Linked DNA regions of Arabidopsis thaliana. The protein of the gene in region 2 interacts with the protein of the main gene of each other region in a pairwise test. Each region holds a gene or a part of one and is shown on either strand. Other genes may lie near its edges.

Evidence for each region. The genes of interacting proteins can lie anywhere in the genome.
Region 1: the proteins of ADC2 (region 2) and AT2G25280 interact in a two-hybrid assay, tested with the Arabidopsis thaliana proteins (one large-scale study listed by BioGRID).

The regions. Positions count from the first base shown.
Region 1 is NC_003071.7:10,761,800-10,766,382, reverse strand, and holds AT2G25280 (AmmeMemoRadiSam system protein B), read left to right. Parts: upstream 1-1,572; 5' UTR 1,573-1,751; coding exon 1,752-1,803; intron 1,804-2,150; coding exon 2,151-2,235; intron 2,236-2,308; coding exon 2,309-2,377; intron 2,378-2,451; coding exon 2,452-2,564; intron 2,565-2,661; coding exon 2,662-2,773; intron 2,774-2,870; coding exon 2,871-3,014; intron 3,015-3,118; exon of another isoform or gene 3,119-3,137; intron 3,138-3,224; coding exon 3,225-3,399; intron 3,400-3,455; exon of another isoform or gene 3,456-3,618; coding exon 3,619-3,744; 3' UTR 3,745-4,024; downstream 4,025-4,583. Other genes in the region: Phox1 (Octicosapeptide/Phox/Bem1p (PB1) domain-containing protein / tetratricopeptide repeat (TPR)-containing protein), read left to right, coding at 28-191; AT2G25270 (uncharacterized protein), read right to left, coding at 4,025-4,396, 4,500-4,583.
Region 2 is NC_003075.7:16,559,518-16,565,049, forward strand, and holds ADC2 (arginine decarboxylase 2), read right to left. Parts: upstream 3,528-5,532; 5' UTR 2,934-3,527; coding exon 798-2,933; 3' UTR 513-797; downstream 1-512. UniProt on the Arabidopsis thaliana protein: Required for the biosynthesis of putrescine. Catalyzes the first step of polyamine (PA) biosynthesis to produce putrescine from arginine. Is a major contributor to basal arginine decarboxylase (ADC) activity and putrescine biosynthesis.

The DNA.
Region 1 (4,583 bases), on a different chromosome or scaffold from region 2:
AATATAACAATCAAACAATAACTGTAGGTATGGGATTCAAGATCGATGAGATAGTACAGGCATGGAATGAGATGTATGATGCCAAAAGATGGCAGATTGGTGTCCCATCTTTCCGGCTAGAACCTTTGTTCCGAAGACGGTCACCGAAACTTCATGATATTTTGGAGAATGTGTTTTCAGGGCCTCAGTGACGAAACAGTCATCATATCAGCCGGCATCAGTTTTCAGTTTTTATAAAGGTTTGTCTGAAAATTCGGAGTTTTTCAGGTTGGTGTTTGATGAAAAACTAATCTCTTGATCTGTTCCAGCAATTGTTATTACAGGTATAGTATTCACTATTCATTGGGAGTTATACGCAAGTTTTCTTCGATTTTTGGTTTGGTTCTCAGCTTATGGAAGCATTGAAGCAATATTTTTTTTAATCTCTTGGCGGGTATTGCTGTGAAGAAGATGAGCGTGATGTTATTTTTTTTGTGCAGATGGGTTCAACATATTTGTTAATTCATTATTTCATTTTTGGTGGGTTTGTAATTATATCATAGTTTTGTATTTTTTTTTTTTTTTTTGGACAAAAGTTTTTTAACTTTTTTATTCATCGATTTTTTGGATTAGTCTTTGTATCTATGGATTGGATTGGTTATTAATTAATAAGATGGTGAATGTTTTTGGCTTGTGGCACTCAGAACTGTTAACCATCCTACAATTAGAAACGACGTGCTGTTTCTATTCTTGAAGTAGAATGGCAAGTTGTTAACAGGCATGGTAGATTGGTAGTGTAGGGTGAGCTACGATAGACTCGATGACGTTGATTCCAAAGAATAGCCGTTCGTTCTTGAAAATCGTTGATTCACGAAGAATAACCGATAACAAGGAAGATACGAGGATAGAAAACGATGCTCAAAAGAAGAACTCAAAGCTCTATATTAATTCAATAATCAAAAGCTGTCCTACAATAGAGCATAGCGGCTAACTTAAATAGAAGACACAAAACATAAAATCCTAGCCTAACGTCAGTGCCAAAGCTCAATAAACAATAGAAAATCAACATGAAAATAAAGCCCAAAACCATAATAAAGTAACCAAGGATCTACACTACACCACATGGGCATATTTAACCAGCATAGAACCGAACAGAACCAAAATTTGGGATTTGGTTCGGTTTCGGGTATTTATTTCATAAGAACTGAATGGTTCCAATTTGTAGAACCTAATGGTTTTTGATTTGGTTCGTGTAAAACCCACAGTTCTTTAGTTCGGTTCAGATTCTAGTGGTTTGATCATATTATTATGGTTTTGTATGGGTATTTTGGTTAAATCGGGTAGTTTGGTTACTCTTGGTTACACAACAACCAATCGAAACCGAAACCTTTTCGAGTCTTATTTGCTTCAAATTTGAATAATCCATATGGAACCGAATATTAATCGGTTCCAAATAGATTTACCAAATTTACATACCAGAATTACCTGAAAACCGAAAGAACCGATCCAAACGAAAAACCGAAGCCCAGGTACTTGTTGTCATGCGTATCTGTAAAGAGTGTAGTAAGGAAAAACAGCACGAATGTTTATAGGAAAAAATAAACACGGCACACAGTTTTGCACTGAGTTTCTTCCCCGAGTTGGCGAAGAAACCCAGAGAAGTAACACAACACAGAAGTAGAATCTTCTTTAGTCATCTCCCGCAAGTTTAGGAAAGCTCTGAAATTAGGGTTTTTCGTCTGCGATCACGATCCTTCAATTACTTTGCGATAATGGAGAAGATAAGACAACCAACACATGCAGGCTCTTGGTATACCGATAATCGTGAGTTCTGATTTTTACTTGCATGCTCAATCATCTTAATTTGGGCTGAAGATTAGGTTTTAGGTTTCATAATACTGATTTCATATTCTTATTCCTTTTGTTCTTCATTTGTTGATCATTGATTTTAGTTTAACTGCTTAAAGGTTAAAGTTTTGATATTGTGATTACTTAAATTCGTTTTGCTAAATTGGGTTTAATTTGATCTGATGTTTAGTATCTGGATTTAGGGTTTGATAACTCTAGAAAATTTCAGTGACTTTGTTTTTAGAAACAAATACATTTAGCAGTGAGGTTTGACTTTTTTTTGGTTTTTAGAATCTCAAGCCTGTTTTATGTTTCTTTGTCAGCTACAAAATTGTCATCTGATCTTGAAGAATGGCTTAATGCAACTGGTTTGACCAAATCTCCTGATGTACGAGGCGTCATTGCACCGTAAGCTGTTCTTGCTTATCTCATTTCCTCGGAGAAGTGATTACACTTGCACTAACTTTTTGAAGGAATCCAGACACGCAGGTTATTCGTACTCCGGTCGTGCAGCTGCTTATGCTTTTGCAAACATAGATCCTACTAACATGTAAGTAAGCTCGCCTATATTTTGGAAGAGTGTCATGAGTAGACCATTACTATTTCTGACTAGTCTCATTTCAGTTCACGGATATTTCTTCTTGGTCCATCTCACCACTTTTATACTCCAAAATGTGCCCTTTCGACTGCAACAGTTTATAAAACCCCCATTGGAAATCTACCTGTTGATGTGGAGAGTAAGTTTGTCTAGCTTAGCTTAACTTATCAAAGAAAGATTTTCTTTCAGTTGGTGAGGAAAGATGTTCTCTTCTGGTTTTCATATGAATTCACCAGTGATTAAGGAGATACGAGCTATGGGAAAATTTGGAATGATGGATCTACGGGTCGATGAGGCTGAGCACAGCATGGAAATGCACTTACCGTATTTGGCCAAAGTATTTGAAGGGTAATCACAGGGGTAGTAGTGATGTTAAGGTTCTGAATAACTATGAATGACATGGCGGAATTTGCTGAGACTGGCTCCATTTTAATATTTTGATCAGGAACAATGTGAAAGTTGTACCCATCTTGGTTGGAGCAGTAAGTCCAGAGAATGAAGCCATGTACGGTGAATTGCTTGCTAAATATGTGGACGATCCCAAGAACTTTTTCTCAGTGTCCTCTGACTTTTGCCACTGGGGCTCAAGGTTTGTCTTAGCTCTTCATCTCCTTTCTCTCATTGAAGTACCACATTCTGATGTAACGTTACTTTTGATGGACATTGCTTGAGAAATGATATCTTTTTCTCTTTATCTCTTTCTAAAATTCGCCTTAACTGCATAACCAGATTTTCTGAGGCCCTTCCAGTGAGCTAATTGCGCTCTGTTATGTTTATATTCATATGTTTTTGGTTATAGGTTTAATTACATGCATTATGACAACACTCATGGTGCTATACACAAATCGATTGAGGCTCTAGACAAGAAGGGAATGGATATAATAGAGACAGGAGATCCTGATGCCTTTAAGAAGTATCTTCTGGAATTTGAAAACACGATTTGTGGGCGCCACCCGATCAGTATTTTTCTCCATGTAAGTAGTGCTAGACTGTTTCTTTGCATTGGTCAATAACTTCATGAAAAAATAGCCTTAAGCTTGCTGCCTTCTTATTTAGTATCTAGATACTTTTCTTTTAGATGCAACCAATATAATGGTGAATCTGGTACTCACCGAGGCTACTTTGCATGTATCTGGTTTGTAGATATTCCTCACAACTTACTACTTCTGTTTTATGTTTGTGATTGCTTTCAGATGCTAAAACATTCATCAAGCAAGATTAAGATCAATTTCCTGCGGTACGAGCAGTCAAGCCAATGCCAGACAATGCGAGACAGCAGTGTCAGCTATGCATCTGCTGCAGCCAAGTTGGAAACATGAACTAAAGATAGTCAAAAACTTGGTGTGCAAAATTTCCCATTTGGTTTCAAGGTCTTTCAGGGTCGAAAAGTATAATCTTAATGCATATATCTATGCGAAGAACCTTAGAAAACCAAAGGTTTCGTGTTTACATTTCACTGTAATAACAAGTACAAGACTCTCCTTCATTGACTGGTATCTAAATTTTCATTTTTCTCAGTGGACTATGTTCAGACATGAAAGCACAAATCAAGTATCTTGAGACTTGAAACATTTTGCTTAAGATCTACAGAGACATACATCAAAAGTTAACTCTTACAATCTCCTTACTTTCAGAAAATTCAGGCAGAGCTTCCTTCCGATGCCTTCGCTCTCTACTGTAAATGATCCAGAACATAAGTGAGAGCATCACAGCCGTTGCTAAAATGGCCAGACCCACATAGACCCAATAGCCATAACGCTGTAGTCCAGGACAATGGTCATTCGTTATGTCTCTAAAGGTCTGTTTTGCGTATGAACAGTCCTGAAGCTGGACCAGGAATGGCGCGTCTCTGATCAATCCCGTGCTGATATTAACACCTGATGCCATCTGACTGTACAGCGCAGGTGTAAGCCTTCCTGTTGTGGTGCAAGTCCCGTTCTGGCTCACTTGGCACACGAAACTGGTCCATGCCTGAGAGTGTTTTGACATCACTAAGATTTCTTTGTACAAGTGCAATTTTATGCCTACTAGAGACAGTTTCAACAGTAAAGAAATTGGTCAGAGGGGGACTTACTTCAGTAGCATTGTTCAAATCGAGATCACCAGGCGAGCAAGAGCGATCGGTAAGGTCATGGTTAAAAGGATTGCAGAGCAATGG
Region 2 (5,532 bases):
GTCAAACTTTTCACCTTTAAATTTGAATCCTTCCTTTTTCTCTACAGTATTATATGCTTTTTTTTCCACGATCGCCAACAACCGGACAAGTATAATGGAAACAACAACACGTTATCTCGAATATGCATAATGTCAAAAAATTACCTCCACGTAAAACGAAACCTGTTGCACACCAAGCCGTGACTTAAAAATAAAGACCACTATTCGATAATGCAAGATACGGCTAAAAACACTCAATCATGAGCCACATTATCAAATAATCATTTAACCGCTTCCCAAAGCCTAACAGATAAAAGATGTCAGTCGATAAAACACATAAATGTCAGAATCTAACATCTCCATGTGATACTTGTGTGTGTTGTCACATTCACTTCTTCACTCATCATAACAACATCGGCCCACGACGCCGGTTATAAGATGCGGCGAACCTGATCCGTTAAAAATACCACTAGACAATTTTTTATATTTTTTATTTAAAATTATTATAGAGTGAAAACTGAAAACAACTTATTCACGATTCATCGTTTATTTATTTCTTTTATGTGGTCAAACTTTTTTATTATTATTATTATAAATAAAACGGGAACGGCTACATTTGAAGGGGGAAATAAATATAAAAAGATCCGAATTTCACAAAAGGCTTTCATAATTCGGATCTTCTTACTTAAAACCTTAAACAACGATGGATCATGGATCTCATCATGTTCTTATTTAATAACTTTTATTTAAAGAAATCGTACAATGACGATTTTACGATAATATAATGCAACAACAAACCACACGACGACCACCTTTTCTCACGCAGAGATGTAATCGTAGACGTCTTCGTCGCAGTAGTAAAACCCAAGGTTACTGATCGCAGCTGAAAGAGAGTTACTTGGCGATGCCTGCTCAGTTGCAAGATACGGCATGTTGTGGAACGAACGGTCGAGAGAAGCCGCCACATTGTTGAACTCATCATCTTCTTCTTCCTCTTCATTTTCACCTTCGCTACCACCTTTGGTATGCATCATTTCCTCTGCTCGGTGCTTTAGGGTCTGAAACATTAGCTCCGGCTCATGCTGCATTGCTCGGAGAACATCCGCTGAGGACTGACCAGGCACCGCTCGGGTCACTGCAAAGCTGTGTGGTCCATCGCTCTGGGAGACCCGGACAACGCTTGGTCCACCAAACAGATTGTGGACTCCACCGAGAGCCTCCTCGTAAGCCCCTCCAAGGAACATACCCAAAAAGTACCTTCCTCCACTGCCATTCTTGTCCAGCTCGTGCAACGGCAAGCTGGATTCACCGCCTATGAACTTGTTGATCTTCCCGTCACTATCACACGTTAAATCTGAAAGGATTCCGCGAGCCCCGGGCCTTTGATCGAGCTTATGGATAGGAACTATAGGGAACAGCTGATCAATCCCCCAGAGATCAGGAATCGAAGTGAAAACTGATAGATTGATATTGTAAGTATGAACCGGATCCGATGCGCCTATAGCCTTCAACACCCACTCGCATAAACCATCAACAGAAGCTAACTGCTCGATGCTCAAAACACCTTCTTTGAAACCTTCAACACACCTCTGCTTCAGCTGATCGACATAAAGAAGGCAGCTTTCGTGGTCTCCACGCATCACAGCAGCATAAAGATCCTCATAATTGGCTCGAGCTTCCTCATTACCTTCAAGCAGGAACTGAATATCGCCGGGAGTTGCTTGATGAACCATTGGTTTATCTGCTGAAACAGCTTCAAAGATCAGCACAGAATGATGAGAGACTATCGCTCTACCGCTTTCGCTGCATATCACCGGATGTTTCACTGAGCTCCGGTCACACACAACCCGAACAGAAGCTACAACAGCTTCAGCATACTCCTCGAGACTATAAGCAACAGAGAGATCCGATTCTCCAGATTTAGACCCGTCGTAGTCAATCCCCAAACCACCACCGATATCAATAACTTTCATATGTGCACCAAGACGCACAAGTTCACAGTAAAGCTGAGCAGCCTCGGCGACACCATCAGAGAGCAACGAAGTCGACGGAATCTGTGAACCAATATGAAAATGCAGAAGCTGGAGACAATCAAGCATACCAGATTGACGCAGCTTCCTCACCACACGAACAATCTGAGTAGTAGTCAATCCAAATTTACCCTTTTCACCAGAAGTTGATCCGAAATGACCCGAATGCTTAGTCCTCAGCTTAGCCCTTAACCCAATGACAGGCCTCACATTCATCTTCTGGCTCAGCTCAATAACCAGATCAAGCTCTTCTTCTTGCTCAAGCACAATCACAGTATTCAACGCCAGTTTTCTCCCAAGCAGAGCCAATGATATATACTCAGCATCTTTGAATCCATTGCACACAAGAAAGGCATCAGGGCTACCTTTACACAAGCAGCTCATAGCAAGAAGGATCTCAGGTTTAGAACCAGCTTCTAATCCAAATCGAAACGAAGATCCAAACTTGACAATATCTTCAACAACGAATCGATCTTGGTTACATTTCACCGGATAAACACCTTGGTAATGAGAATCATATCCTTGACTTTTAATCGCGTAATCAAACGCAGATTGAAGACACTCGAGACGGTTCTTCAACACATCAGGGAAACGAACGATCAACGGAAGCTGCAATCCTAAACCACCGGAAGATTTCGGACCCGTCACCTTCTTAACGATTTTGAGCAAATCGATGTCTTGGTGAGGCAAAGTTTCAGAGCCATGAGGACGAACAGAGATGTTACCAGACGAATTGGCTATGAAATAAGGGGCTCCCCATCCATCGATTCGATAGAGAGACGATGAGAGCGACGGAGACCAACGGTCAACAACAACGGCGGCGGAAGTTGGTGATGACGCCGGGATAAAAACATCACCGGCGGTGTCGGAGAAGGCGTAGGCAGGAGGTACAAAGGACGTATCAACGCAAGCTAAAGCAGGCATCTTTATCTTCACCCTCTTATCAGCAAACGATCAACAATCTCACTTTACAGAAATTCTCGAACAAAACAAAAACTTTCGAGAGAAGAACAGAGCAAAAACTGAAAAATCAAACCTTTTTTTTTCTAATTTCCCAGAATTTGTAAAGGTAGGGGTTTAAAAACCGCCGAGGCCGGAGCCTCGGCTACCCCCTCAGGAGAAGACAGAAGATGAATCTATCCCCGCCGTGAAAACCACCTCTCGCAGCCCTTCCCGATCCGAGAATCTCCACGATGAATAATTCAGAAGAAACTCGAAAAAAAGGAAATTTTCCAAATCTGAACCCAACAACAACAAAAATTCTCTAACAGATTCTCCCAACCATGCAGAAGTGGATTTGTTTATGAAGAATTTGAGGTGGTGAGGAATTAAAAAGAGGAAAAGGAGAGAATGTGAAGGAATTCTGGGGAAAATGCAAGAAAAAACAGAGACGGAAACCTAGCGGAAAAGACGGAAATGAAGAAGAAGAAGAAGAGAAGGCGTGAGATTGATGAAGGCTATTGGCACTTGCTTATATAGGGACTAGGGAATCAGGAACCAACGTGAGAAGGTTATGACTGAGGCAAGTTTGATTTGGGCCATGGGGCCCATTTACGATTACGTTTTATACTTTTCTTTTTCTTTCAACATTGTATTTTTTCCCTCTATTAAAAGAAATTTACCCTACATTTCTTTAGGTGCTTTGCTCCAACAAAAAAAAAAAAAAAAGATTTTTGTTGGAGAACGATTTTTATTTAGAGAACAATTTTAAAATAACCTTTATATATTTACCGGACAACAACGGAAGTGGATTTTTTTTTTTTTTGTTAATTCTATTTTAATTTATAATCTTTTCGTTTCTGTATTCCCTACACTGAGAAGTGGGAATTACTGGCAACTCGTGTAACTCGTGTTGTGGTCTCGTCTACTAAACATTTTTGGTTTTTTCTGTAAGCCTGTTATGTATCGACATTTTCTTTTTCAAACCACGACAGCAAAAGAAATTAACTGTATTCAAAGATTGGTACAAGGAGCCTATGCTTTCAACTTGCGCTAGATGGATGGACCATTAATTAATTGAAGCTTAGACTATATATGTCTATCACCAATAATTGCGTAATTTGGTAGTTGCATGTGCTTAATGGACCATTAACCCTAAAACAATGTCTCTTTATCTCACACACACACACACACACACACACAAAATTGCTTTTGTGTTTTAAGACAAATTTCCTTCTTTTGTTTTGTTTTTTTTCTTCACGACAAATTTCCATGTTAGCAATAGTAAAAGTGTTCTTTTGTTGCTGATTAAATAATGTATTATATTAGGGAAAAACATATACATTAAATACAGGGATAATTTTGTTGATGCTGTCTGGTTTGAAAAAGAAAAAGCTTTATTCATGAACACTCGGCTACGAGGCGCCGCGTGGCGCCCTTACGTGGGAAGTGGTTGTGTTATGATGTTTCGTCTCTGCTTCTTCTCCTTTTGCCCTTTTTAGGTTAAATTTTAAAATTGCGCCGCTCGTCTTTTCACGTGCGAATGAATATATAAGTGTTCGTGTACGTGTGACGTTATTATCAAATCCGACGATATCCAACGACGAGATCTATGATTCTTAGTCCAACGGATAAGAATTTGCCACGGTATCTGTTTGTTCTTGTTTTTCCTTAGGCATAGTTAAGTGCGAAAACATTAGAGGGCCATATTTTTTGATTGCATAAATTTTGGAAGCATGTAAATAAATGTAGTGACCCTCTCTTTCAACATGTTTTTGTTTATCGCATACTTTCTTAGATCAACATCGTGTATCTGGTCGATTTCTTAAACCTGATACCAAAGCATACTAATTTCGAGAGTATCTGGTCGATTTCTTATACTCGATACCAAAGCTTACTACTATATTCGAGAGTATCTGGTCGATTTCTCAAACTCGATACCAAAAACTATAATGTTTGAGGGTTGTCATGCTCTTTGAAATTAGTTTTCTGTAAACTTACCACAAAATAATCATTTAGGTCAAAAAGGTACAAGAGTTTTAGTTGGCCTCAACAAAACAACTTAGTTTATATACAGTGGAAATCGCAGGGGAGGTGTGATCCCTTTCCCTTGGATCATAGCCCGACTATCTCTGGTGCATTATCTTGTTTGGAATCTTCTTTTGTTTTTCTGCGTTTAACGGTGATATATTATACGAATTTGAAGTAGGACGGTAGCACATCAATAACACTAATACAAACCACTATATTACATGTCATATTCGTTTTCATTTGTTATAACATTCTTACGAGAGCTTAAAATTGTAGCCAAAAGAACCAAGTATTCACAAATTCTTCAAAGACAAGAGAAAACATAGAACTATTAATAAAAATGCGAAGAAGTATCGAGTTCTGGAAACACTAGATCATTTGGACGATTCACAATAAATTGAGTTGTTGAGAAGGTACACTAAATTATAAATCCACTTTTTTGACAAACAACTTGATTTTTGTACTAGCAAAGATAAAGAAAAAAAAGAAGAAGAGGAAATCGATTAAAATTAGTAAAATACTAATTACATAAAAAGTGGAAAATGCAACAAAT